7 linked regions of the Xenopus tropicalis genome follow. Each later gene encodes a partner of the first gene's protein in a complex. Links are inferred from orthologs where the notes say so. Each region holds a gene or a part of one and is shown on either strand. Other genes may lie near its edges.

Region 1 (3,500 bases):
TGAGCAGCTGTTGTTCCTGATAACCCTGCATTGCTTGCTATAGAAACATACGAGGACTGCTGCAACTGAAAAAGCACAATTTGAAGGAATAAAGAAAATGATCTGCAACAATAGAGCCAAAACCAAAAACCTTAATTTTAGAAATGTAGAACCACATACAATTTACTGTCTCATGCCCCATCAATCCAATGTGCATCTAGGTTAGTGTTTCTTAAAGTGTTATTTCACATTAGAATTTACATTTAGTATTATGTAGAACGTGGTATTCCAAGACCACATTCTTTATATTTGTAGTTTTTGAAGTGTTACTTTTTCTAAGGAATTTAACTGTAGTTTATTTGTGTAACTTACCTAATAAAAAAAAACAAATACAAGAGTATTGTAGAAATGATACCTATGTTGGCTAACAATAGGTATCATTTCTACAATACTCTTGTATGTGTTTTTTTTTTTTTTTTTGTGTAACTTGCCTAGAAACTTACATTACTTATTTAAGTGTTTGTGTACATGGGGGAAGACAAAACTTTTAAGGGGCCCAAATTTCTGATGGTGGCCCTTCATTCAATCAGCATTTTGCCCTCCTGCAACTCTGGATATTAGCTTCCCCTTTTCCAGCCCATGTACAACTTGATTGATTTGTACCAGTTCACAGGAGCAAACTAGAAGCCAGAGCTTTAGAATGGTAGGAGATGACAACATCCAAGAAGAACAGACAGTGCAAAGAGTGTTATACAACAGGAATTATATAATTAGAATTGATGGTAAATACATTTTCCCTTTAAAATAGGATAGAGTGCCATGGATTTGTTTGCAATTGGAAAAGAAAACAGTACAATTCATATAGCACTGGAAGCTAACTACAGTGTCCCAAATTCCTTTTCCTAAAGCCTATTTCCTGTATGGCAGCAAAAAGGCAAAATAAGTTTGCGACCAGACAAAAGGGCAAAATCTCTTAAGACTAGTTCTAGTGCAGAACATAATTTATGCCTACGTTTTTAATGGTTTCAGTTATTTGTTGTTACAATAAAAGTGGTAAAAATTTCCACTAAAAGCCCTCACTATTCTTTATAATGAACTGCTCCTTACCTCAAAACTAACAAAAGAAGTAGGTTAGAGTATGTTTATACAGAGCAGACTATATTAATTTCAAATACAGGTATGGGACCGGTTATCCAAAATGCTCAGGACCTGGGGTTTCTCAGATAAGGAGTCTTTTCGTAATAAGGATCTATACTTTGTCTACAAAAAATAAATAAACCCAACAGGATTGTTTAGCCTTCATATATCTTAGTTAGGGTCAAGGACTAGGTACTATCTTATTATTACAGAGAAAGTCATTTTCAAAAATGTCATTTGATTAAAATAGTGTCTATTGGACATGGCTTTTTGGGGGAAAAGGGGATTCCGGCTAATGGATTTCATACCTGTACTACTATTTTTTAAATTAAAAATACAAACAATGTCACTTGGTCCTCATTTTATTTTGGTGTTTATTAATCATCTACCTTCCGTCTAGTCTTCAAATTGGGGTAAAAAAAAACAAAAAAAAAAAAACCTACTGCTCTCTGAGGCTACTACTCAGTATCATTCCTGGAACATTAGCAAAGTATGTATAGATTATTTATCAGCTGACTACTCAGCAATTCCAAAGAGAACATATGTATCAACTAATGTATCAAATAACAATTTACAGTAAGTTTTCCCCTCCCAGAGCTACTCTAGGGTGACACAGGAAGGTAAAAAAAAAAATGAAACTAAGAAAAGGTAAAAAAAAATAAATTTATATATAGCACTTGAAAAAACTTTTCTGGTGTACTATCTAAAAACAATAGTAAAAAAAAGTGTTTGGAAGGTGAATAAAGTGATAGGGTGATAGGTGTAAGTAAATCACATACATTGTAACCCCCAAAATCAAGTATTTGTCTGACTACTGCATTTAAAACCATACTGGAACAACCTCACAGTACTGGGTTTGAAATGTGTTCCAGTATTGTCTTTGAAGAGCATGACAATAAATTTGGCTAAATGGTTGCCATTTAGGGTGTCAGTGTCCCCATGTGATAATTAAGGGAAAGGTTTATCATTGATCAACTTTTTACAATCAACTATAAAGGAAGAACCCAATAAAAGGACTGCAGCAGTCTAAAAGTTTGGTTCCTTATGGGCCTAAGTCTAAGGGGAAGATTCACCAAGACACGAACGCTCCGAGCGTATTCTTGCCGATTTTTTTGCTCGAAAAATTTTGGAAAGGCTCTGCCGCTGTTTACAATAGTCGTTACGAAAATTTTGTGACTTTCGGATCGCCAATACGATATTATCGTGAGTAATACGATTTTTTCGTAAGCATTTTCGGGATATTTGCAATCTTCAGAAATTTTCGTTTCCAATCCGAATTTTTCCATTCATGATTCGAATTCGTGTTTTGATAAATCTGCCCCTAAGTCACCATATAAATTGAACAATACATTACAGGATAATTGATTATAAAACTCAATTGACAGACAGTGTCTTAATTCCGTAACATTAATTTACTCACCTGAGTGACATACTGAGCAGGTAGGACAGCATAACCTACATTTCCAGTCCCTGGTGCAGAGGCTAACACAGTGCCTGCTGGAAGGTTCGTAAGGCTGGGCTGTATTTGTGCAAGTGGCGTAGCTGGCATAAGAAGCCGCTGCTGTGGCTGGCTTGTTGTGACAATCTGGGAAGCTGCATTTAATGGCTTGGGAACAACCTAAAAAGGTAATGAACTTGAATGCACATAACCATAAATAAACATACATACATTAATGTTAAACATGTGTCTAGGTTAAAGCAAAAACTCTTTAATAGTAAAAAGTTTTTTATGGGGGAAAAAAAGCTGAAATCAAAGATTATTCAAGCACAAAATAATAAAACAAACAATTTTCTGAATACTCACCATCTATCTGAATATGAAGTTTAGACTTACTTGTTTGACAGTCTGTGCTGGAATAATGGGAACAGACATCCTCACAGGCGTTGCATTAACAACCACTGGTTTAGCTTTAGTTATGAGAGAGAGAGAGAAATATAAATGAATGAAGCACTGCAAATAATAACCTATTTGTCAGCTACTGGATAAAATCTAAATTAAATAGTTGGCATAAAGGGGGAGTTAAGTTAGTTTTCTAGGTTCACACTATACAGTGGCTCCTATACCATTGTGTTTATTAAGCAAAAAATGGTTATTCCTTACTGTATACTGAGCACTGGTCAGATGCAGAAGGAAAGCTGGTGAAGTTTCTTAAAATTGTCCTTTATCATGCCCCCCAAGCAGGTTTATTGTGTAGAAAGCACTGATATGTAAATACACAGCTCTCTTACTGGTGACATAAAATAAAAAAAACACTTTAGGGTGACTTTGTGAATATTAGCACAAGAGCTCTGATAAATGTTAGCGTTAGAAAGAGCTGTACTGTGAAAAGCTTGACAAAGATTTAATAAAATTACACTAATACTGGATATTTAAAAAACTGCAG
Region 2 (4,256 bases), on another chromosome or scaffold:
AGGCATCATCACCCATAAAGGTAGCCCTAGATCATGGGTGTCAAACTCAATCACATAAGGGGCCGAAATCTAAAACACAGGCCAAGTTGAGGGTCAACCATGCCTGACCGTGCAGCACCACTGGGACTGGAGCAGTGATGTCAGGTGATAGGTGCTGCATGTTCAGACACAGTCACCATCGGCCACATAAAACAGCCAGGCGGGCTGGATTCGGCCCGCGGGCCTTGTGTTTCACACATGCCCTAGATAATCAACAGTTTATCCATTCCTATGCTAATATATAGCACAAAGCAGGCATTAGCTGCCAACAATGCCCACATAACCTACTGCTGGCAATCAGTGTGCAAGTCCATATAGGTATTTTTCTGAAGTATACCTTCTTATTAGGATCTCAGCATAAGCTGCATAGCACTGAACATTATTAAGCACCCACTGGGAATATCTGATATATCGCCTTATATACATGGGAGTGTTCATGTGCAATGATATGCAGCCCAACAAAGCACCAAATTTTGCAAAGTAAATTATCCAAAACTTAACAAAGGAGTATATCAGATTAATATTAATCAATAGGAATACCAGATCAATCCTCACACTATTTGGTTCACTACTTGAATCTTAGTTTCCTTCCAAGACTTTTGGCAAGGCCTGGGCTGGGCATACCAATACACGAACTATGAAGGCCTCTAGAGAAAGGGCAGTGACCCATCCTCTCCGGTGCAAAATTCTAATGCAGGGGCCCAATTTACTACCCCCAACACTGAGTCACTACCGACCATCAGTCTCTTAATCCCAGCCTCCTTTATCCGCGCATATCAACGTAGCCCTGCTTGTAAAATAGCACCTTCATAATATAGTTTCATTCGTCTATTGGGAACACCCATTTATTTTGGGTACCTGGGGATATTCTCTCCCCCACTCACTCATGTCAATGTACTAGCCCACACTCACCCTCACTATTCCTCTGATCCGCATCATGCTTCCTTCAGAATCCCTGAGCTTCTCAGAGACTGAATGACAAGAAGCCACACCTCTACCCCGCCATTGGCTGATGATGCCACGGCCCCTTAAAAAGTGTTTCCTATTGGCCTGCCAGAAATAGTGACCGATTGTGCGCTAACTCAAGGTTTGACCGACTGGTGCCCTACTATGTGTGCCTTGATTGGCTCATATTTGTCACGTGATGACTCTTGGATCTTCACCGCTATTTGCCATTTTTACGATCGACAAAATGTGTAGGAACATGACGCCTTCTTGGTGTCTGGAAAGTGATGTAGCAAAAAGGCAGTGCATCGCACCATGCCTTAATGGTTAAAACATTATTGTACAAGTTAACTTTAGTCTTTAAAAAATAGACGTTTGTGTAAGCTATGGGTGGGTGCAGCAATATGGCGCTTAAGTATAGAGCGTCAAATTGGGTGTACCAAGATGGAATGTTTAAGTCTATTTCTGTCACGTGACAAGTGAGAAAATGGCGGCAGTTACGGATGGTAAGCGGTTGTTTTTAATTTGTAGGTACACTAATGGGCTTAGAGGAAAGTATTCTACATATATGTATCCGATAATTGCTTCTAGCAGCAGGGTAAAGCCGATGTGTGTTCCCGCTGCGCATGGTTACTCTGTCGAGAAAGTACTGGGAGTTTATCATTAAACCTTGAAAATAACAGTGAATGCATTGCGATGTTCTGTGCTGCTCTGGTGATCCCTAGCCATGTCAATAATTAGCCGCAGACAATGAACTGATCCTTCTTTTACTTTTCACATGTAATAAGGCTTCCTATTGACATCAGGTGGAAAGTGTACAAGCCTTCGGCTTCGTCTAGTTTGTAGGAAGGTGTACTTGCACAATTTGGGATGTTGCCAATGTACAGACATTAACCTAAATACTACTACTCATAGACGAATGTAGCATAGTGCACATGCGTAAAGCTGTTAGATCCTAGTGTGGATATAGCTCAGTGATCAAGCTACTAAAGGCAATTAAAGAAAAGAGTGCTTTATTTTAGCTAAACATTATCATAATCACAAACCTAATGTCCCAAAATTATATACGAGATATTCACGCTCATGAAAAAAGTATTATACAGTCTAGCCTAATCCTAATGACCCAAAGTATACTACGTAAACCCAAACTCTTCCTATCAACATACATGTAAAAAATTTGTGTAAAAGCTTTGTGAGTTGAACCCAGAACCCTAACACAGAAGGGCAAGAATTCCGACCACTTTACCACAATGCTACTTGGTTACTCTAGTGTGTGAAAATGTATTCTTGTGAATACACCTTGCCAACAAGAAAAGTTAAAATCTAGCTTGTTTTGTATGAATAGCCTAGATCCTTTTGGTGTAATGTCCTTTTGGTGTAATGCCCAAACAGCCCCCACCTGGCTAATAAATGTCTGGCATCTAACAGCAGCCCATCTGGCATTCCCCTGGATCCACAGATAGCCAGTCTATACCTACAGGTGGGAGTGACTTGAAAATGGTAACAGAAAAAAAGATACAGTAAGAGCAGAAGAAGTAAAACCTTGCAGAAATAAACTCTCCTGCATACAGGTTTAGGAAGAGTGAGGTACTTTATAACAGAACCCTACCAAAATAAGATTTTTTTTATCTTTTAAAAGAATAGCAAGAGTATATGTCCTCTTTATTTTACTTCGTTTGAGCAAAGGTCTATACTGTTTTTGTTACCTCAAATCTATGTGCTGAGATCTTTGTGGGGTATGAGTGAGAGTTTACTTGCAATAGTTAATGGATAACGCTCAATTTAACTTGTTTTTTTCCCTTTGAACGCATTCACAGCTATAGTTTACAAGGGGAATTATACCAGTTTTAACCTGTTGTGTGGCTTTTACGTATTTTTTTTCTCAAATTATACTCTGCAAGTAGTAAGCATGGTTTGCAAGCATGATACCTTCTTAAAACACAATGCTAGCAAAATTCACTGGGGTTGCCAAGTTGTCAGCCACCCCCCATGATTGTAATCATCAACAAGAGAAGTTGTTCACATTGTGCACAGTACAAAACTCACTGAACAATTACTGGACTCTGCTTACCCAGGGCAATAGAGGAGCTTTGGAAAGAGCAGGGAAAAATGGTTATGGCACACTCTGCAGAAAAAATGCAAGCTTTGGGTCTCTGCTCTGTAAATATAATCATGGGGGGATGACTAACAAATTGGAGCCTGCCAATGATTTTAGCTTTTATCATCCTTTAATGAGTGAAATTCATAGAGATTTTCATTTGTACTAATGGATTTGTTCATATGACCCAAACACTTTATTTACTTAGCTGTTAGTACATGCTTTTACATATCACACTGGATGGTTTGTAGCCTAGATCCAACTTTTAAATGGAAAAGAGCTCTGTTTAAAGATGCACTTAATCACAGGCAAGTCTAAAGACTGGAATTCTCCACATTCTGAATTACATCAAATTGACTTTGGTTGCAGCTAAAAGAGTTATATTTAAATAGTGGATTGAGTCCTCCCCTCCCTCATTCACTGACATTTAAGCAGAACTAAATCTTTGTAAAAATGAAACTATTCATTTCAGATTCGATAGCTTGAAAACACCATTTAAAATTTACATCAAAATGGAAAATATTTGCAAAGCTTGGAAAATAAGGAAAGAGATAAGATACATGACATCCTTTATCATTAAAATGGATTCCTACTATACGTAATCCTAGCCATGAAAATAATACTTGGCACAAATTTTTTCTTGAACTCTAGTAACTTTAATATATTAAATATTATTACAATTAGTTTTATGTAAGATTGTAATTGTTTACTTTTCAATGCTTACCTTTTATGATCTCTCTATTTTGAATGAGATTCCACGTTCACCTGTATGTTTTCTTGAATACTAATACAATGATTAAAACAAAAAAATGAACTTTACACTTTTTTCAACACAAGCAAGATAAATAGAATGTATGTATAATATAGTATACTTATGTATTATTATTTAGTTTTTACTTTATCTACCTATTTTAACCGCTATCAACTGAGTTTAAATAGGGCCAATAAGCTTTGTATAAACAAACACCATACTATTTATTGATCTGATTTTGAGCTAGAGGTGACACTGCCCCTTTAAAACCAGTGGGAAGTAAGTAGCTAAGGTCACAAAGTCACAAGATTTCACTTAGTTGACTATTCAAAAATAGTTTTGGCATTTAAAGGAACAGTAACACCAAAAAATGAAAGTGTTTTAAAGTAATTGAAATATAACATACTGTGGCCCTGCACTGGT
Region 3 (4,070 bases), on another chromosome or scaffold:
TTTAGTGAGGAGGGTCCTTTCAAACGATGAGGGTCCCTAGATTGCAGGGCGGACTCAGGGAGGTAGTAGGAAGAAGCTCTAACAGCAGACACGAGTGCGACCGTTTCTGGTGGTAGAAGTCGGGCCCTCCAACAATCGCGTCACAAGACTGACTTGGCTCGTTACCTAGAGGTTTGGGCCCTTGAACGTATGTGATATATGCTTGGCAGTCAAAGGCTTTTTCTGCAACATGTATCACATACATGCTTGGCAGGAAAAGCGTAAAACCTTACATATGTTTCTTGTAAATCCTTATTTCCAAGCAGTGCTGAGTCCCCTGGGCAACCTGGTTGGCTTGGCCCGCCTTATCCCCCACGTGGGCGCGCGTGCACACACAGGGTGGCGGGGTTGCCGGGGCCACTGGCGGGGGGGTACTACAGTAGGGGGGGGAAAGGGCCCGGAACTAGTGGTTGGTGAAAGAAATACCACCTGCCTGGCGCGGCCACACCGTTGCGCCATAGGCAGGTGCCTCTTCTGCCTACCCATGCTTCCAAGTACCTTCAGTTCCTGAAATCTCTCCATCCCCACCTTCCATTTGATTGATAGAGAGTGTACTGTCTGTAAAAAGAGCTGCCCTCTGATTGGAGAAGCTGCAAGCAAAAAAATCCAATCAGAGTGCAGCTGGTAACAATGGTATCGGACCTTGCAGGAATGCAAAGAGCTTTCCACTTTTTAATTTAGGTGCCAGACAGGTTTGGAAAGGGTTAGCCTTCCCTAGACTTAATGAAAATCTACCCATTGATTTATCTAGGGTTGAACTGGGCGGCCGGGGCACCAGGAACAAACCTGGTGAGCCCCTGCGGCCCCAACCCGATCCCCGCAGGGTGCGCCACAAATCCTCCGGTCTCCCTTCCCTGATGCGCTGCAGGTAAGTTTAATTTACAGTTACTTACTAGTGAAAAAGTATTCCATCCCACATTTGAATTTGTAGGTTTATTGGTGATGGCGCACAAAAGGAGGGATATGTACAAAACAAACTCATAAGAATTAAGAGGGAACTATAGATCTGCATAAAATAGTACTATACTATATCTGAACTATACCTAGTTCAGATTAACACAAAATATTTTCAAGGTATCATATTTCTTTTAAAAAAGGAAGAATATACAGCACTTCTCTGCTTTAGTTACTTGGATACAGTGTTAGAATATAAATAACACAGTCTGCAAGAGCCCTAGTAATTAAACAGCTGAATTGCTAAGGTCCACATATCTCCAAGGAGACTGCATTAAGCTGCTCCTCATCACAACCAAAACAAACAGCAGCCATCAAGTCAAAGCTGCTAATATACAGCATGTTAATATATATATATACAGGTAGCATAACTCCAAGTTTAAGTTAGCTGGTATAATGATCTGCACTACGCTCAGTTAGATGAGAATACAGTAAGTAAGCACTCCATATAGCTTGTCAAAAGGATGTGAAAATAACTAGGCAGATTTCTCAGCTTATAAAACACAGAAATTCAGAGTTGTGCAACTACTGTAAATACCGTGTTAATCATTTTTAATTATCTTCCACAAAAAAAAAAATCAGAAAGATGTTAATTATTGTACACATCCTCCAACAGCCTCATGTGTCAGTCCCTCCCTGAACCTTTAGATCTGTGATCCCCAACCAGTGGCTCGTGCGCAACATGTTGCTACCCAACCCCTTGAATGTTGCTCCCAGTGGCCTCAAAGCAGGTGCTCATTTTTGTATTTCTGGTTTGGAGGCAAGTTTTGGTTGCATAAAAACCCAGTATAATGCCAAACAGAGTCTCCTATAGGCTGCCAGTCCACAGAGGGGGCTATTAAGTAGCCAACCATAGCTCTTATTTGCACCCCCAGGAACCTTTCGTCATGCTTGTGTTGCTCCCCAACACTTTTTCCATTTGAATGTGGCACACAGGTAAAAAAGGTTGGGGATCCCTACTTTAGATTGTAAGCTCATGCAATCAGTTCCTTCTTGTCTCCTGCCCCGCAAGGCACTTTTTTGTTACCGTTTTGTACTTATTAGCGATCAGAATAAAGTCATAGCTATGACAGACTACTGCACTCCACGTCCATTTCATCCCTTCCCGTATCTGATAAGGAGCTGTAACACATGCAGCATAGGCATCCAGGTGAAATGCTAAATAATGTGAAATAAACTAAAAAAAAGCAATGAAAATATTTTCTGGGATGCAAAAACCTCCACAGCGCACTACTACAGTTATTTGCTAATAAGCCAAAGCTTGCAGCGACGCTGTTTGTTTTTTTTCCAGTCCAGTTGTTACTGTACTACCATACCCAGCATGCCCTGTAGCGGAGACTGGGAGAGCAGAGTAGCACCAACAGCAGTAGGAGGGCCGCAGGTCAGGCATTCATCAAGCCCATGAAAAAATAGAATTTCTCACCTCTAGAGTATAATTCTGGCTAATCCTACTGTAATACTCCCAGGCCTCCCCCCGGGCCCTCTCATCCATATTAAGGCTGCTGCAGAGTTCGTCATAGCGGCAGCGCAGCTGTTCTTCTGCCTGCTTGCCTTCCCCTTCTTCTTCTTCCTCCTTGATCATCCTCAGACCTTCCAGTTGCCCGGCTATGTCCCCTCCGCCACCCGAACGGTGCACTTCCACATCTCACACTGCGCAGCCATTTAAATGGCAATGACTGACAGCAACGCTTTGATATTCTCGTCACCAATTAGAAAGGCCTACTAGCGTAGGACACTGTTCTTCTAATATAGATGGGGAAAATGCGTAGCGTAGCCCCGCCCAAAACAACACAGAGGTCGGCCTTTTCCTTTCCTTATCGCTGCCGATTGAGATACTTGCTAGTTCCTGCTAGTCTCTTACTCTGTTCATAAACAACATAGCAGCATCCGCCGCCCTATTCTGTTAGTACGCGTGCGTTATGTTCCTTCCTGAAAAGAAAGTTTTAGTTCAACTAAGCCCCACTGTTCCTATATGTAAATACTTTCTTTGGAGGAGGAGGCCATCCTGCTTTTACGCTTTCTAAACTAACACTCACGTTTTCCTATATGGGCTGTGTCATCTTTACTTCACAGGGGGTCCAAAATGAGTGAACAAATCGACTTGAAGGAATGTCACAGTATCAATGGCAATTACGGGGGACCCAGCCCTTTATGAACATATCCAGTAATTTGTATGATTCATAAAAAAGAAAATAATTTAGAAATGCAATGCAATGTTTGCATTTAGGACATAACATGTTTTACCAACATTCACATCTTAAATGCTATGGGGATCATAATAAGTAAAAAAAATTACAGGAATTCATATATTCGTCTTTCTCTATTAATAACGTTGGCATCAAGCATAATTTATTACTGGGAAGGCGGGTAAAACACTGGACAGGTGGCAACCCTAGTCAACAGGCCCGGATTTACAAAGAGGGTGCACCCTAGACCCCCGTCTCTGCAGTCATGTGCATGCCCACTTCTATAGTCAGTGCGTGGGGCATTTCTCTAGTCCTTCAGTCCAAATTTAGAAGCAGCAGCTGGTCTGCATGTTGCCCTAGGCCCTGGCCTTTGTATAAATCCAGATCTGCTACTCAGTACTTTTCACTTATCTGAGGGGGGGGGAGCTGGAGGAAGTCGCTGCGGTGGGGGAAAGCTGAGGGGAGCCAGAGGAAGTTGCTGGGGGGGAGCTGGAGGAAGTCGCTGGGGGCGAGTTGGAGGAAGTTACTGGGGGTGGAGCAGAAGGACAATGGGGGTGAGCTGTGCACATGCAGCGGGGAGCCACAGGAAGTTGCTGGGGGGGAGCTGGAGGATTCTGATGGGAGCTGGGGGTAGCCGGAGGATGCTTGGGGGGGGAGCTGGAGGATGCTGGGAAGGACTCTGGGGGGGAGCTGGAGTATGATGTGGGGGTGAGCTGGAGGATGCAGGGGGGCCCTGGCTACCAATGTTTTAGGGGGGCCCTGGCTACCAATGTCTGTGTGTCCTTTGTACTAATGGGAGGGAGCATTGGGGGGCAGGGCGTGAGAGGAGGGGGGCCCCGTGATTTCTGATGGCAGCCCTGAGTGTATGTACATGCCTGTCATGGGATTTTA
Region 4 (3,936 bases), on another chromosome or scaffold:
GAACTTACAGTAAGGTTACTGGCAATCACCTTCCATTCACTCTGTCCATGCTTCTTCACCAAGGCTTTTAGCGTCTCATCCTAATGAAACAGAACAAAATGGAAACAATAATTAATACCTTACTGGGGGAAACACGGACGGGAGCAATTTTTACGCATGACCTAATACTGGGGAGTGACATCCCTGTACTATTTTATGTAAATAGTATCACCAACATATAAGACCCCCAGAGGATGACAGAGATGTCAGTCACAGTAAGAAGTCCAAAGACCAGCACTGGAGGGACAGAAGGGTTCTCATCCAGCCCTAGGCAAGAGATAAGGACTCTGGATTGTATTGCTCTAGCAATACATCTAATTGCATACTGTACCTCTTCTGGGGTCCACTTCACTTTGACCCTGCTTTCCTTTGGCTCCGGGACATCAGAGTCTGTGTCCTGATATTGCAAATCCTCAAGATCATCTCTGTATGGGTTAAAGAAAAAATTATTATTAGTATTTAGTCAACATGCAACAGTGTCCCAGAAATAAGCACAGGTTCAGCATATGGAAAGAGGCAGCATTACTCAAAGCACCCAGGGAATAGGGTGTCTGTTAATCTAGCAAAACAAGGATTAAAAAAAAAAAAAAAAAAAACCAGGGTGCCATGAGGGTGGCCACTACTCCAAATGCGAAGGTCGAACTTTCCAGCAACCCCTCTCCAGCTTGCTTTTGGAGATATCACATAGGGGCTGGGTCAACTAGAAAGGGGGGTGGGGTGGAATTCAGCTTGGGAAAGCAAAGGATCCTACATGTGGCACATAGCTGGGACAGAACACAAGGTTACAGGCAGAAACATGAACAAAAAAAAAAAAAAAAAAAAAAGAGAAAACTGTGCACTAGGGAAGTCATCCTTGGGTTTTACTTAAGCGTCTGATAAGTGCATTATATTTCTGTAAATGCAGTCAATGTAGGTGGGTTGCAAAGGGGAGAAGTGTGAAGGTGGGGGAGGGAGTTGTAATCAGCATGACATCCTGAGGCACCTTTACACAAAAAGTGTAGTGTTCCTAGATATACAAGAAAGAAATTACTAAGAATCTAAGGAAATATGGCCGACAAAAACTTCTTTCTCTTTAAGAAGGGTTATAAATGAGGAGCAGAGACAGGCAAACAAGCACAGGGAGGCTGCAGAACGTGGCGCTCAGCTGGAATGGAGCACTGAGAGAGCAGGGACAAACCCAGCTGGAGAGTCACAAGTTAACCTCCTGGCGCAATAAGACAAAAGCCAAAACAAAAGGGGTCGTTGGGGGCCAGCTGTGCACAAACATAGCATTACTGAAGGTCTGAGAAGTACTGGGAAATGTGGGAAGCACAGGGAGAGAAATATGGGGTAGTAGGGCAGATATGCATGCCCTGAAGTGTATGGAAAGCCAAAGGAAAACTCTCAGAGGGAGGACAGTGGAAGCTTCATAGGAAAGTGCAAATGGGGGTGGGGGAGAGCGGACAATGGGGCAATGCACGGAAGCCCACTCGGGGTGGACATGGAAAGTCCTTATGGGGAGACAGAACAAGGGAAGTAAAGAGAAGGCTAGAAAGATAATAGACAAAAACAAGGGTTGGCAATACTAGCTGGGGAGAGAGCTGAGGGGGCAACAGTGATGGGCAGCTGGGGAGAGAGGTGAGGGGTGACAGTGATGGGCAGCTGGGGGAGTACAGGGAAGGGCAGACTGGGGAGAGAGCTGGGGGGTAGAGGGAAGGGCAGACTGGGGAGAGAGCTGAGGGGGTAGAGGGAAGGGGAGACCGGGGAAAGAGCTGAGGGGGTACAGGGAAGGGGAGACCGGGGAAAGAGCTGAGGGGGTACAGGGAAGGGGAGACCGGGGAGAGAGCTGGGGGGTAGAGGGAAGGGCAGACTGGGGAGAGAGCTGGGGGGTAGAGGGAAGGGCAGACTGGGGAGAGAGCTGGGGGGTAGAGGGAAGGGCAGACTGGGGAGAGAGCTGGGGGGTAGAGGGAAGGGCAGACTGGGGAGAGAGCTGAGGGGGTAGAGGGAAGGGGAGACTGGGGAGAGAGCTGGGGGGTAGAGGGAAGGGCAGACTGGGGAGAGAGCTGGGGGGTAGAGGGAAGGGGAGACTGGGGAGAGAGCAAAGAGCCCAGCTGTGGAGAGAGAAGCAGTAGAATAGTTTAGCTATAGTTTAGGCATGTGGAACCGACAGAGAAGCCCAACTAGACAGGAAAGTCCAGAATGGGGGAAGTTAGTAAATCCAGAGAAGGCCAATAGGTGAGAGCCCGGCAAGGCCAGGGCAGAGGCAAGGCCAGGGCAGAGGCAAGGCCAGGGCAGAGGCAAGGCCAGGGCAGAGGCAAGGCCAGGGCAGAGGCAAGGCCAGGGCAGAGGCCAGGGCAGGGGCAAGGCCAGGGCAGGTGCCAGGGCAGAGGCAAGGCCAGGGCAGAGGCAAGGCCAGGGCAGAGGCAAGGCCAGGGCAGAGGCAAGGCCAGGGTAAGGGCGATAACACAGGGCAGGGAGGAGGCGCAGAACTGAAAGCGCAAAGCAGACGCCCAGTGACTGGCACCTACTCAAAAGTAGTAAGAAAAGGCCGCCGGGTTCTAAAGTAGTAGCTGTGCCCGTATGTGCAGCCCCACTGCCCCACCCGTTAGTGCCAGGCTCACCCGCGGGCCCGCCGGGACATCCTGCCGCTCCGGACACTTCAGTGCGCAGTCTGTGGCGGTATTGTTATTTCCTATCTCCCGCCAGCTGCGCACGCACCCACAGAACTCCCTTTCCGGGGCGGAACCCACTCCCTGGGCGGGGCCTACAGCCCATACGGAGGCGCTCTAGGTGCCTGTCACTTCTATATGTGGGGAGGGCCATGCGTCCGGTTTTAACCAATGAACAGCAAGCGCACTGATGTCAGCGATTTCCCGGCGACCAATCAAAGCTAGAAATGAGGGACAGCTTCTGGCGCCTATTACGTTTTGTAACAACCCGAGTGACAGAGGATTCTAAAAATTTCCAGACTAGACAGTCATTTCCTCTTAGTTTTGGCGACGGTAGCGTTAAGCCATGCATTTTAAGTGGGGTTTACGCTGACATCACCACCTCAGATTTGCTATGAGTGTATAGGTTTTTGAACATTAAATTTGAACTGCTGCCTGGTTACTAGAATGGGAGTTCCCTAGCAACAAACATAGAAGTATAATAATAATAATGAAATGGAACCTTCACAGTCAGTCTGTTTTTCAGTTACCTAGGTAACCTTGACAACTAAGCAATTGCAGGCTGGAAAAAAAATAGAATGGAAATATAAATAAAACAAAAAAAACCTGAAATGTTTATTAGGTACTTCTACAGGACTGCCATTGGCTGGCTACAAGTGGTATTGCTGAGGGGGGGTGGGGTATGTGCTCAAATATAACCTCTCCTGAACCCAGTCTGAGCAGCATGGCTTAGGAGTGACTGCCCAGTAGTGGAAAGAACCCTCAGTAAAGGCAGAAATTATATCACTTTCCCTTCCACCCTCTGCAACTGGGAACAGGGGGAGCAAAATGGAACTTCTATATGAGAGAGAAGACTGGGGGAAACCATAACTGAGATGGAGGAAGGTTATAAAGTAGACAGTGAAGATAAATGGAGAGGTGTTAGGTTAGGAAGACGTTATGGGGGTACAGCAGGGATGTCTCTATAACAAATACAAATTTAATGTAACAGTTAACATTCCCTTGAAACATGGCTCTCACATTCCTCAGTATCCAGCATCCCTATGAGCTGGTCTGGCCTAACAACTACAAGTGAGGAATGGGATAATTGGATAATGGGTGGGGTCACAAGGCGAGATTGATTGGCTACTTAACCTCCTAAAACACTATATAAAAGGCTACTTGCCTGGAAGCCAGAATAAATCATTTAGAGGAAATCTATCAGGGAAGGTAAGTGGCTGCACAAAGGGAATCAAGTTGGTGGTGTGTC
Region 5 (2,348 bases), on another chromosome or scaffold:
CTCTGCAGGTTTTGGAAGTTCTGGCACAGCAGGGAGAGGTCTGCCTTGATCATTTTGAGTTGCGTGGTGACCAAAGTGTGGATCCCGTTAATTGCAGCTAGCAGGCCAGCATTAGAAGGATCGGGAGTTGTGTTTGCGGGTGCGGGCTGTTCAGAAAATGATGGAAGGTGGGTCCGCATCTGCAGCCTTGTGTGCAGTCATTGTAAACTGCGGTAGAAATTCTCATTTTGCTGGATGCTGCTAATCACCATAGAGAGTGCACCCTCAGGCCAGGGATTCTTAAACTTTAGGTTGGGATCATAAAATGGGTCCCCAGGCTGTTTAACATTGGCTGTCCATGACCCCTGCACCCCATTATGGATACTGATTGGTTCATCAGCTGGGCAACAGAGTATGGCAAATAGGCAGATGAGGAATTGTAGTTACAGCTCCTCCACACTTTGTTATTCCAACTGTTTAGGCTTTCAGCCCCACCAAAAGAAGTCAGTACAAGTACCCAGTAATAGTAGGGACCTTTTTATTTTACATATTTACACATAGGCATATTACATATACATTTATATACTATAACCTTCAGCCTACACTATTGTGGTACACCTGCAGCTCCATTTCAGGCAGATGCTTCATTGGTCTGTTGCAAGGATCTGGGGCTGCATAGATTTCATTCCTCCTCTCTTATTTGGTGTACCATATATAATGTAAAAGTCAGAATTGTGAATAGGATGCTTCAAGAAGATTCATCTGAATGGAAGTGACATTGTAATGTACAATAAAACGTTATGTACAGAGATTTAAAAAGGTGCCAGCAAACCATAAAAAGGTGTAGATGCTACACAATTTCATTCAGCTCAAAAAAGCACAGCAAAGATTCACATCAAAGGGTTTCATTTTACGCTAGGAATAAAAAGATAAAATGGCTGCACGCAGATAGAGCAGGAAAAACCCAGCACAGAAAATGCACTGCCAAATATTTCTACTCCTTTTCCCTGGAGTCCGTAAAATGACTGTATAAACACAGCGCAACGCTGGAAAATCCAAGATTTTGTTGCCAGATCTTGATTGAACTCAATCTGTAAGTTCATACATTACAATAAAAAGAATCTCCATTAATGCTTTTGGAGCAAAAAGAACACTTAAAAAGGAACAATAAAAACTGTATGCTGCGCTGCTGAAAGCTAGTGTTCATAAAATTAAAAGTCTATAGTTAAAAAATGTACTCATGAAGCTTTGCTTTGTATCAGTAAAATGCTACTGCAGGTAATGAAATAGAATTCAGTCCACTAGGGGGCGCCTCCACCGGCAGTATTATTACAGCTCACAACATTCAACCCTGATGAACTCAGTAAGCCATATATGTTTCATATAAAGGCAAAACTGAGGAACGATAGACTTTCCTTTATCACAATAGGTTAAAAATATCATGTTAAGAAAAAAATAGATAAAACCATGGAAACGGCAGGGCAGTTGTCCCATCACGACTGACCACGTGGCTAAGGCTTTTGGCCAACTGCAGTGATTGAGATTGCAGACAGTAGCTAGCAAACAGTGTACAATATCATACGTGCAAGAAGAGTCTCCAACACCTAATGGAACTCGGGGGCCCAGTTGGAAGGGTACTGACCCGAGACTTGCCTAAAATGTAGCTTTTTAATGGGCCGGAACCACAGAATGCCAATGGCCAGACTGCAGCTAATGGTTGGCCCTCTCACTCACGACATCCTGCAGGCGTTTCAGCAGAGCATCATCATTTTCCTGGCAGAGCCGCTTTGCCGGGGACTCCGTGTCGCTGTCAATAGCAATGATCCGCTTCCGGCTCCTCTGCTCCTGTTTCAGCATGCTGTTTATGTCCTGCAAGCTCTTCAATAAACAGAATATAATAAGTACAGAGTCCCTTTAATGTCAACCAATGCCACCAATCAAGCTCCCCTTTATTCTACTGTATAACTATAATCGGGATATAAACGTCCCCAGCAAGGGCACAACTTACTTTTGAAGGACTTCCATTAAACTTGTACAGGAGGGCTGTGTGGGGAGTCAGGCTGCCGCTGTTCTTATGGGGAGACACATAGATAGAATGCTGCTGGGATACTCGGCGGGGAGAAATAGCTTGTTGCTTGATGCTGGGAAATGGCGAAAGAGGCGGAGCATCCATCTAAAAAGAAAAAAATCACATCAAATGTATGGCCCATGCTATAAAAAGGAAAAGGACACCTTCACAATAACTTAATATGTTAAAGATAGATCAGTTTAGGTAACTTCATTATGATGATGGATGGCTGGTTGCCAAGGTCACTGACCCTGGCAACCAAACAGCTCAAGACAATTTTATTATTGCTTTTTTTCTAGGT
Region 6 (4,209 bases), on another chromosome or scaffold:
AGAAAGCTTGGGAACATTTTAGTTACAACTCCTGTAGCTTAAACCTTAAGAACTTTACAGTTAAAATACATTGCTCTTATATGAAAAAGAATCCATAGCATATAGTACTGGAGTATCTACACTGGTAGATCTGGCAGGTAAGCAAAGAACTAGCTCCTAGTTCTAACTAAAAGAGTGTACGTTTTAAAGGGTAACTTTGTGGACAGATTGGCCCCTGGCCCACCAAAACTCAGACATTTAGCTGGGGCTGAACTGCCAGAATCCCCCTACCACAAAGAATTACACACAATCCCACATGCAAAGCCAAGGGATACTGCTGTACAGAACAGATATGAAAAAAAGAACAGAAAGCAAAGAAAGGGGCCAAGACAGAAACGTTGCCCCCTTTCACCATGCAATATATTATCAGCATTGCTTGGGGCCTAACAAAGCATAAACATTCTTAAATACTGCCAAAGAGTACAAAATATTAAGATTCCCATAGCGTATTAGACATCCTTACTTCCAACTCGTGTATAAATAAACCAAATCTGATTCAATAAGGGCCTCCTAATTGGTGTAAATAATACAGGGAATTAGGAAATGCTTGGAGCCAATAATGTAGGAGCAACTCTAGAAATGTTCTCACGCCACAAGCCATCAAACAAACATAGGACAAGCTGAAATATAAAGTCAAGATTGCCAGTATTTCCAAAATACAATGAACACTTCAAGTATAAAGGATACTGACTCCGAAATAGGAAATATCCTAAATGTGACTCAGTACGACCTTTAAAGGTAAGGCTTGAGGGACCTTTCACTCTGCCCCCTTCCCAACATAATATATTGTGGAACAAACCTAAAGCAAAAGCATTTCCAATCTGCAGCCTTCTAGCTGTTATTAACAGCAATTCCTGGCATCCTACCAATGTAGCTGGTGTTGTGGGGGTTTTAGTGCAACAATAGGAGGGCCACAGCTTAGATATGCCTAATGTACATTTGTGCCATATGCATCTTTCTACAGTGACCCCTACACAATACTGTGCATCATCCATTTCCCACGTGGGTCATGCAGCCCAATCAGTCCTGTGCTTAGCCTTAATTGTTACTACCATAACCAAACTTCCTACTGCAGCATTGTACTCTGTGCTGCACTTTCCTCTCCCAGGCTGCACATGTAGGCCAGGCCTTACCCAATCAGCACTGGGAGCAGCCAGCATGTGTCACTGATATGAGTGGGACTGATCAGGCAGCCCAGAGGAATGTCTCCTCCCTGCAGCAGCAGCAGCAGCAGCAGACAATGCTCTCGCCTTCATTAGCATACAGCTGACACTTAGGGCTTTTCATAGTGACTGTCCCACTGAGCAGCATGTGGCCCCAGGAGGCTGTCTGACCCAGGAAGCTGGCTCTATAGAACAAATGGGAGCCCTAACCCCCCCCCCCCCCCCCCCCCCCCCCCACACACACACACACACACACACTTTTACTACCAGTTAAAACTAAATGGCTTCTCTGACCATGGTAAAAGTTTCACACCAAAATGGTGTGACACAAAATGGAGGACTATGATAAATCAAGGTTCCTTAAAAAGCTAAAAAATAACCAGAATCCCCTTCTGTTTGTATACATTGTGCATTAAAGGTCCCAGAGAACAGCAGTGCACATTCTCCCTCACTCACACCCACCCTTATCCTGCTGCACAGGAAAGTACAATTAGCAAGAGAGCAGGGATGCTTGAGTTTCCAGAACAGACACAAGGCTCCACTTGTTCACTCCAACTGCACATGTGCACTACTACACACTATATACACTACTACGCACTAATAATCAGAACTCAGCATTCTAACCACAGGCCCATCACAATAACAAACTCCATCAGAAAAGCAAAGATTACCCATGAAAATTGTTGCATGCTCCATTGATCAGAAATTCCCAATATGCTGATGTGTGACTACAAAACCCTGCATCCCCTAATATCCTCTGACTTCCATGGAATGCAGGGGCTTTAGTTTCCCCAACAGCTGGTGGGCCCCATATTGCATATACCTGCACTGTATAACTACAATAACTTGCAGCAGCACAAAATTCAAGGATTTTCCCCCAAACATTGTGCTCAGTGTCTATGCATAGGAACTTCAAGTGGGGCATATATTGTACATATAAATAGGAGCAAGTTATTTTTTAATATTTCTATTATTGCTAAACCCACCATGGAATCAAACAGTGACTAAGCATGGCAAACACACACATATATATATATAGGTATAATTCATATATAAATACAATATAGCCTGATGCACTTGGAAGGGTTACTTAGTTGTAAGAGTTAAAACAATGGTGTATATGAAAATCTGTCATCCTGCTACATCTCCCCACAGCTCCAAGCAGTCCTGAGTACAAGCCCAGAAATCAGAGTGCAAAAGCAAGTAAATATGAGGAATATTATCCAATAAGTCAGCAGGGACTACCCTCCCCCCCAGGCAGAGCATGCTGCAGGAAATTAGTGCATTGTGTGGGACCATGAGAGCCTGGGGATCAGCATATATCCCAGTCTTAGGGGGGATCAGGTAAGTGGGAGGATAGAAGGGGTGACCCTTATGCAAGGGACCTACCTCAACACAGGACACGACTGGCTCACTATTCCCAGCTCACTACTAGAGCCACTCTTTGTTACCATTGCCTGAAAACTTGAAAATGAGGCAGGCATGAGCAACCGAGCGTCGAGCGCATCCACCGCGCACATCCGCGATCAGACCTAGCCAGGCACAATCAAAACAATTGGCATGTTATCTCCTGGGCAGGCTGAAGGTTGCTAGGAATTCTCAGGCATCGGCTGCTTCACTTACGTCATGGACTTTTAAACGGCAGAAGTCCCGGCGCAGTTTATTAGCCACAATCTTTAGAAGGTTACCCCGGCATGCTGGGAATTGTAGTTTAGGGAAACTGGCGAGGCTGATAGACAATGTTTACGGTTAGTGTGATTTGATAGGCTGTGCCTTTCAGCAGGAGGAAAATAAATCTCTGGGTTTTCTGCTGTCCTAGTGGGATAAATTGAGCATTAATGATTGTGATTATCCAGGCAATGTACTGGGCAAGGAGGGATGCTGGCTTATTTCAGATAATTTCAGAAGCAAACTTTAGAAGGAAAAATAAAGATGACTTTCTGTTTCATTAATAAGCAGCACTGTATGGCCATATAGCTTTATGTATGGGCAGATCATTACTTCCTTGCTTATTGGAAGCACCATGTTTATTGATTTTGAACAGACACACACCATACTAAGGACAGAAGATCACACAGTAAGATCATATGTGACTCATTGGACCGCAGACACCTAAATGGTGCTTTGATTGCCCCAAAAATCTCTATGCTTTGTGTGAAATCACCTACTAGAATGTAAAGAATGGAGGGAGACCATTAAATATCCAAAAGGGTAATGCTTGGGCCTTGATAGAGGCAGATCAACTATGGTAGGCCTATGTACAAATGAACTGCTGGCCTATCAACCTACCCACCTGTTGCTGAATAACTAAGGGTACACAAAATAATGTGCATAAAGTAACATGTATATAATTGGTTACTTTGCCTTCAGTTCATGACAGATGTAATGTAATAGTCTTGAAATGTATTTTTCACCAACGTTTTTTTCAGAATTGCTTAAAACCCCAAGGGGTGATTCAGGGTTGTGCCTTTCAGGTGGGGATTAGCTCTACATGACCTATAAAAGATTAAGAGTGTCAATGAGCAGATTAACATTCTCTTGTCATGCCTGAGGCAGAGGATATTGCCATGGTTTATTTCAATGTTTCTCTATGGGACCAGTCTGCCTTGTGCAAATTTTATCAGGCTTGAGTGGACACCTTGCCTCTTCTACATGATAATGACACATTTAAAATTAAAGTTGCAGAGAAATAGGCTAATTAATCACTCCTCACTGAAAAATATTTAGGAGAACTGTAGGTTAAGGTTTCCCACAAGATATTAATGCCAATGGGACTTGATCTCTGGTTAGTAGCCATGCTTACATTATGATACAATCAGGGGAATACTTTTTTACATTACAGCTCCTGACCTCACTTTAAAAATCAAAAAATCAACCTTTATACAAGGAGGTTAAAGAGTTAAAATGTAATTGTGTTTCCCAGGCACAAAGATTTTTTGAATGGCAGGAAAAGGGTTAAGCTAGTCATACCCCTCCCTTGTTGGTTTATCTGCTTGCCAGCAGAAGG
Region 7 (2,838 bases), on another chromosome or scaffold:
GCCAAGGAACTCCTTTTGCAGAAAGTATATTCCTTACCTTGATTACTGACACTGGAATTACATTATATATATTATATATTTGCAGTATATTAAATAAAATCAATTTAAATCAACATAGACTAAGTCCTAATATTCTACTTAAACGTTGGACTGAGATCCAGGTGGAGCAGCACTGGTATTAAAAACAAGGAGATCTCTGTCTGGGAGAAACAACATATCTCCATGGTACCATGTCACCTAACATATTACAAATATATGAAAGCTATGTGCAAAGGAAAATGCCAATCTTAACGTATATTCGGTCATAGAAGTGACTATAAATAGGTAACTCTTTACACTATAATATTCTTTCTAAAGCACAAGTTTATAATATAATTCAATTCCATACAACTCCAGTGCCAGCAATCATTGTGTATCATTTGGACTAAAATGGACTGCACAGCTTTTGTATTGAATCTCACCACTTTCACCCCAACAAAGTCACACAGCTGCTCTGGGTGTTTGTTTTTACATCCCTAAAGTGCTACTGGCAAATACGGGTTTATTTTGTAGAAAACAAAAATTACAAATAGTTCATGTGGCGCAGCAAATGTATGTAGAAAAATAATTTCATATCAACATCTTCTTTCATTTAGGTAAATTAGCTAGACAGTGACTGGCAGCGATTTGGCAGTGAGTGAGGTCAGAGCATAATAAAAGACAACCAAGCTTATTTTTTACGGTTACTGCATGGAAAACCATTTGTTTATGGAGGATGGTACTGCACACCTACTATATTATTGGACAGACTTAAGAACTTCTAAGCCCAAATACTGAGGCACACTCAGCCAAAAATCCAAATATTATGTACTTCAGCAAAAATGTTAAGTGCTTGAAATTTGTGAAAAGCTTCTGTCAGATGTAGTAATGGACTTAATAAAGCTGGATCAATACAGACAACCTCTATGAAGGGTTTGCCAAGCAGTCCTCTCATCACAGGGATGGAAAAGTTATGAGCGGATTCTCACAGTGAGAGGAGTTAAGTGTCTTTTTGCACTGCAATGTCTCTGGTATGGTTTCCGTAACAACTCACGCGGATATCCAAAAATAGAAACATTTCTTCATAAAAGACAACAAAAAAGTTCTTATTCACAAATAAGGCCCAAAGCCGAGTTCAAAATATCAGAGGTTGATGGGTACATCAAAGAGGTCACAAACTCCTTCACTTTCATCTAAATTATAGACATAGTCGTGATCACCAGGAGGAGGAGAAAGTCTGAGCAGAGGAGCAAAAACTGAAAAAAAAAAAAAAATCATGAGTATTTTCAAGCATAAGCAGGTGCCCACATACAGGGCCAGCAGTGGTATCAGTCATAAGTGCTTCTGATATGATTTATATAGAGAGACTGTATCTTAATACAAATCTATACCTATACAACCAACATCATTCTACATACCAACACTAAGGGGCACATTAACAAAGGCATGAACGCTCAGAGCGTTTTTTCGCTGAATTTTTTGGGCGTCCGCACGATTTTGTCGTACGCCGCACGACTTTTCCCCATACGCTTGCACGAAAAAACTGGAAAGGTTTTACCGCTGTTTAAAATTGTACGGTACGCACATTTTGTGACCAATACGAAATTATCGTGACTAATACAATTTTTTCGTAAGCATTTTCGTGATATTTGCGATCTTCAGAAATTTTCGTTTCCAATCCGAATTTTTCCCATTTGGGATTCGAACTCGTGATTTGATAAATCTGCCCCTAAGGGGCAAGTTTATCAAAATGTGAGTTTACCACAGAAAAAACTCATTCACTTTCTATTCATTCACTGATAAACACACTTTTAAAAATCACAGTAATTTTTTCAGTGGTAAACTTTAATCTCACATTTTGATAAACCTGCCCCTAAGTGCCATGGCAGACAGGGAGATTAGTCGCCCGCGGCGTCACGTATGCCATCCCACTGGTGATTTACATTCAAGTCAGTGGAGATGGCATATCTGGGAGATTAGTTGCCCGCGACTAATCTCCCCATCTGCCACGGCTCTTAGAATATGCAATTTAAAGAGCCAATTACACCAAAAACGTTAATTATTTGACTAGAAGAACTGCTTATTTATATAATATGTATAATAAATCTTTACTTTAAGCAAAAGTTCAAGTTTTATTGCAGCATGTTTGCTATCAGCTCTGCAGTGGTCATCCATTATTTAGCTGTCCGGCCTGCATTTACAGCCTCTTGGCTCCAATCTGCTCTATAGTGTGTTTGCAGCTGCAGACAATACTTTTGGCCTGGGTGCAAACACAAGAAGCTGATTAGGCAGTAAATGCATAGTGATGCGTTTCTGCACTAAAATACGCTGGGGGTCATTTCACCACTGGGCAAATTTGCTTGTGGGCAGTAACCTATGGCAACCAATCAAACTGCTGCATTCATTGTTCTACCTGCAGCTGGCTAAAAAAAAGCCAATAACTGACTGCTATAGGTTTCAGTGCCCAGAGTTGATAAACAAACTGCAGTGTGTCTGCAGAGAGCGGAGGGACTGTTTCTGTGCCTGTGCTTATATGCATGCTGAGAAACTGCTGTATATGGCAGTAGCCTTAGCACCACAGAGCACAGATACTTGAGAGTAAGGGCACACCATAGCAGACATTAGATCCTTACATTATTCTGTGAAAATGTACTTACTGCAAGCTAATACTTATATGGACACATACAAACGGCACACTGGTTTATGCTTAAAAGCCATGCCTTTAGATAAATCATGGCACAATGCTTTTTTTTTTTTTGCTTCTTTTAATGGGATTTTAACAAAAAAATCTTTTAGGAAAACATAAAAGAAACTATGCCT

What was found.
Region 2: lin54 (region 1) and lin52 share a complex: the UniProt entries of both Homo sapiens proteins name them as parts of the DREAM complex. The link is inferred for Xenopus tropicalis from reciprocal best matches to the Homo sapiens genes LIN54 and LIN52.
Region 3: lin54 (region 1) and rbl2 share a complex: the UniProt entries of both Homo sapiens proteins name them as parts of the DREAM complex. The link is inferred for Xenopus tropicalis from reciprocal best matches to the Homo sapiens genes LIN54 and RBL2.
Region 4: lin54 (region 1) and mybl2 share a complex: the UniProt entries of both Homo sapiens proteins name them as parts of the DREAM complex. The link is inferred for Xenopus tropicalis from reciprocal best matches to the Homo sapiens genes LIN54 and MYBL2.
Region 5: lin54 (region 1) and rbl1 share a complex: the UniProt entries of both Homo sapiens proteins name them as parts of the DREAM complex. The link is inferred for Xenopus tropicalis from reciprocal best matches to the Homo sapiens genes LIN54 and RBL1.
Region 6: lin54 (region 1) and tfdp2 share a complex: the UniProt entries of both Homo sapiens proteins name them as parts of the DREAM complex. The link is inferred for Xenopus tropicalis from reciprocal best matches to the Homo sapiens genes LIN54 and TFDP2.
Region 7: lin54 (region 1) and e2f4 share a complex: the UniProt entries of both Homo sapiens proteins name them as parts of the DREAM complex. The link is inferred for Xenopus tropicalis from reciprocal best matches to the Homo sapiens genes LIN54 and E2F4.

The regions. Positions count from the first base shown.
Region 1 is NC_030677.2:85,303,912-85,307,411, reverse strand, and holds part of lin54 (protein lin-54 homolog), read right to left. Parts: intron 3,025-3,500; coding exon 2,951-3,024; intron 2,735-2,950; coding exon 2,537-2,734; intron 66-2,536; coding exon 1-65. UniProt on the Homo sapiens protein: Component of the DREAM complex, a multiprotein complex that can both act as a transcription activator or repressor depending on the context. In G0 phase, the complex binds to more than 800 promoters and is required for repression of E2F target genes.
Region 2 is NC_030684.2:81,969,147-81,973,402, forward strand, and holds the start of lin52 (protein lin-52 homolog), read left to right. Parts: upstream 1-1,456; 5' UTR 1,457-1,471; coding exon 1,472-1,490; intron 1,491-4,256. Other genes in the region: aldh6a1 (methylmalonate-semialdehyde dehydrogenase [acylating], mitochondrial), read right to left, coding at 952-978.
Region 3 is NC_030680.2:49,460,512-49,464,581, forward strand, and holds the start of rbl2 (retinoblastoma-like protein 2), read right to left. Parts: upstream 2,801-4,070; 5' UTR 2,576-2,800; coding exon 2,417-2,575; intron 1-2,416. UniProt on the Homo sapiens protein: Key regulator of entry into cell division. Directly involved in heterochromatin formation by maintaining overall chromatin structure and, in particular, that of constitutive heterochromatin by stabilizing histone methylation.
Region 4 is NC_030686.2:39,924,556-39,928,491, reverse strand, and holds the start of mybl2 (myb-related protein B), read right to left. Parts: upstream 2,801-3,936; 5' UTR 2,660-2,800; coding exon 2,640-2,659; intron 465-2,639; coding exon 371-464; intron 81-370; coding exon 9-80; intron 1-8. UniProt on the Homo sapiens protein: Transcription factor involved in the regulation of cell survival, proliferation, and differentiation. Transactivates the expression of the CLU gene.
Region 5 is NC_030686.2:42,375,740-42,378,087, reverse strand, and holds the end of rbl1 (retinoblastoma-like protein 1), read right to left. Parts: intron 2,153-2,348; coding exon 1,988-2,152; intron 1,858-1,987; coding exon 1,690-1,857; 3' UTR 501-1,689; downstream 1-500. UniProt on the Homo sapiens protein: Key regulator of entry into cell division. Directly involved in heterochromatin formation by maintaining overall chromatin structure and, in particular, that of constitutive heterochromatin by stabilizing histone methylation.
Region 6 is NC_030681.2:129,561,309-129,565,517, forward strand, and holds the start of tfdp2 (transcription factor Dp-2), read right to left. Parts: upstream 2,801-4,209; 5' UTR 2,592-2,800; intron 1-2,591. UniProt on the Homo sapiens protein: Can stimulate E2F-dependent transcription.
Region 7 is NC_030680.2:76,512,126-76,514,963, forward strand, and holds the end of e2f4 (transcription factor E2F4), read right to left. Parts: intron 1,275-2,838; coding exon 1,162-1,274; 3' UTR 501-1,161; downstream 1-500. UniProt on the Homo sapiens protein: Transcription activator that binds DNA cooperatively with DP proteins through the E2 recognition site, 5'-TTTC[CG]CGC-3' found in the promoter region of a number of genes whose products are involved in cell cycle regulation or in DNA replication.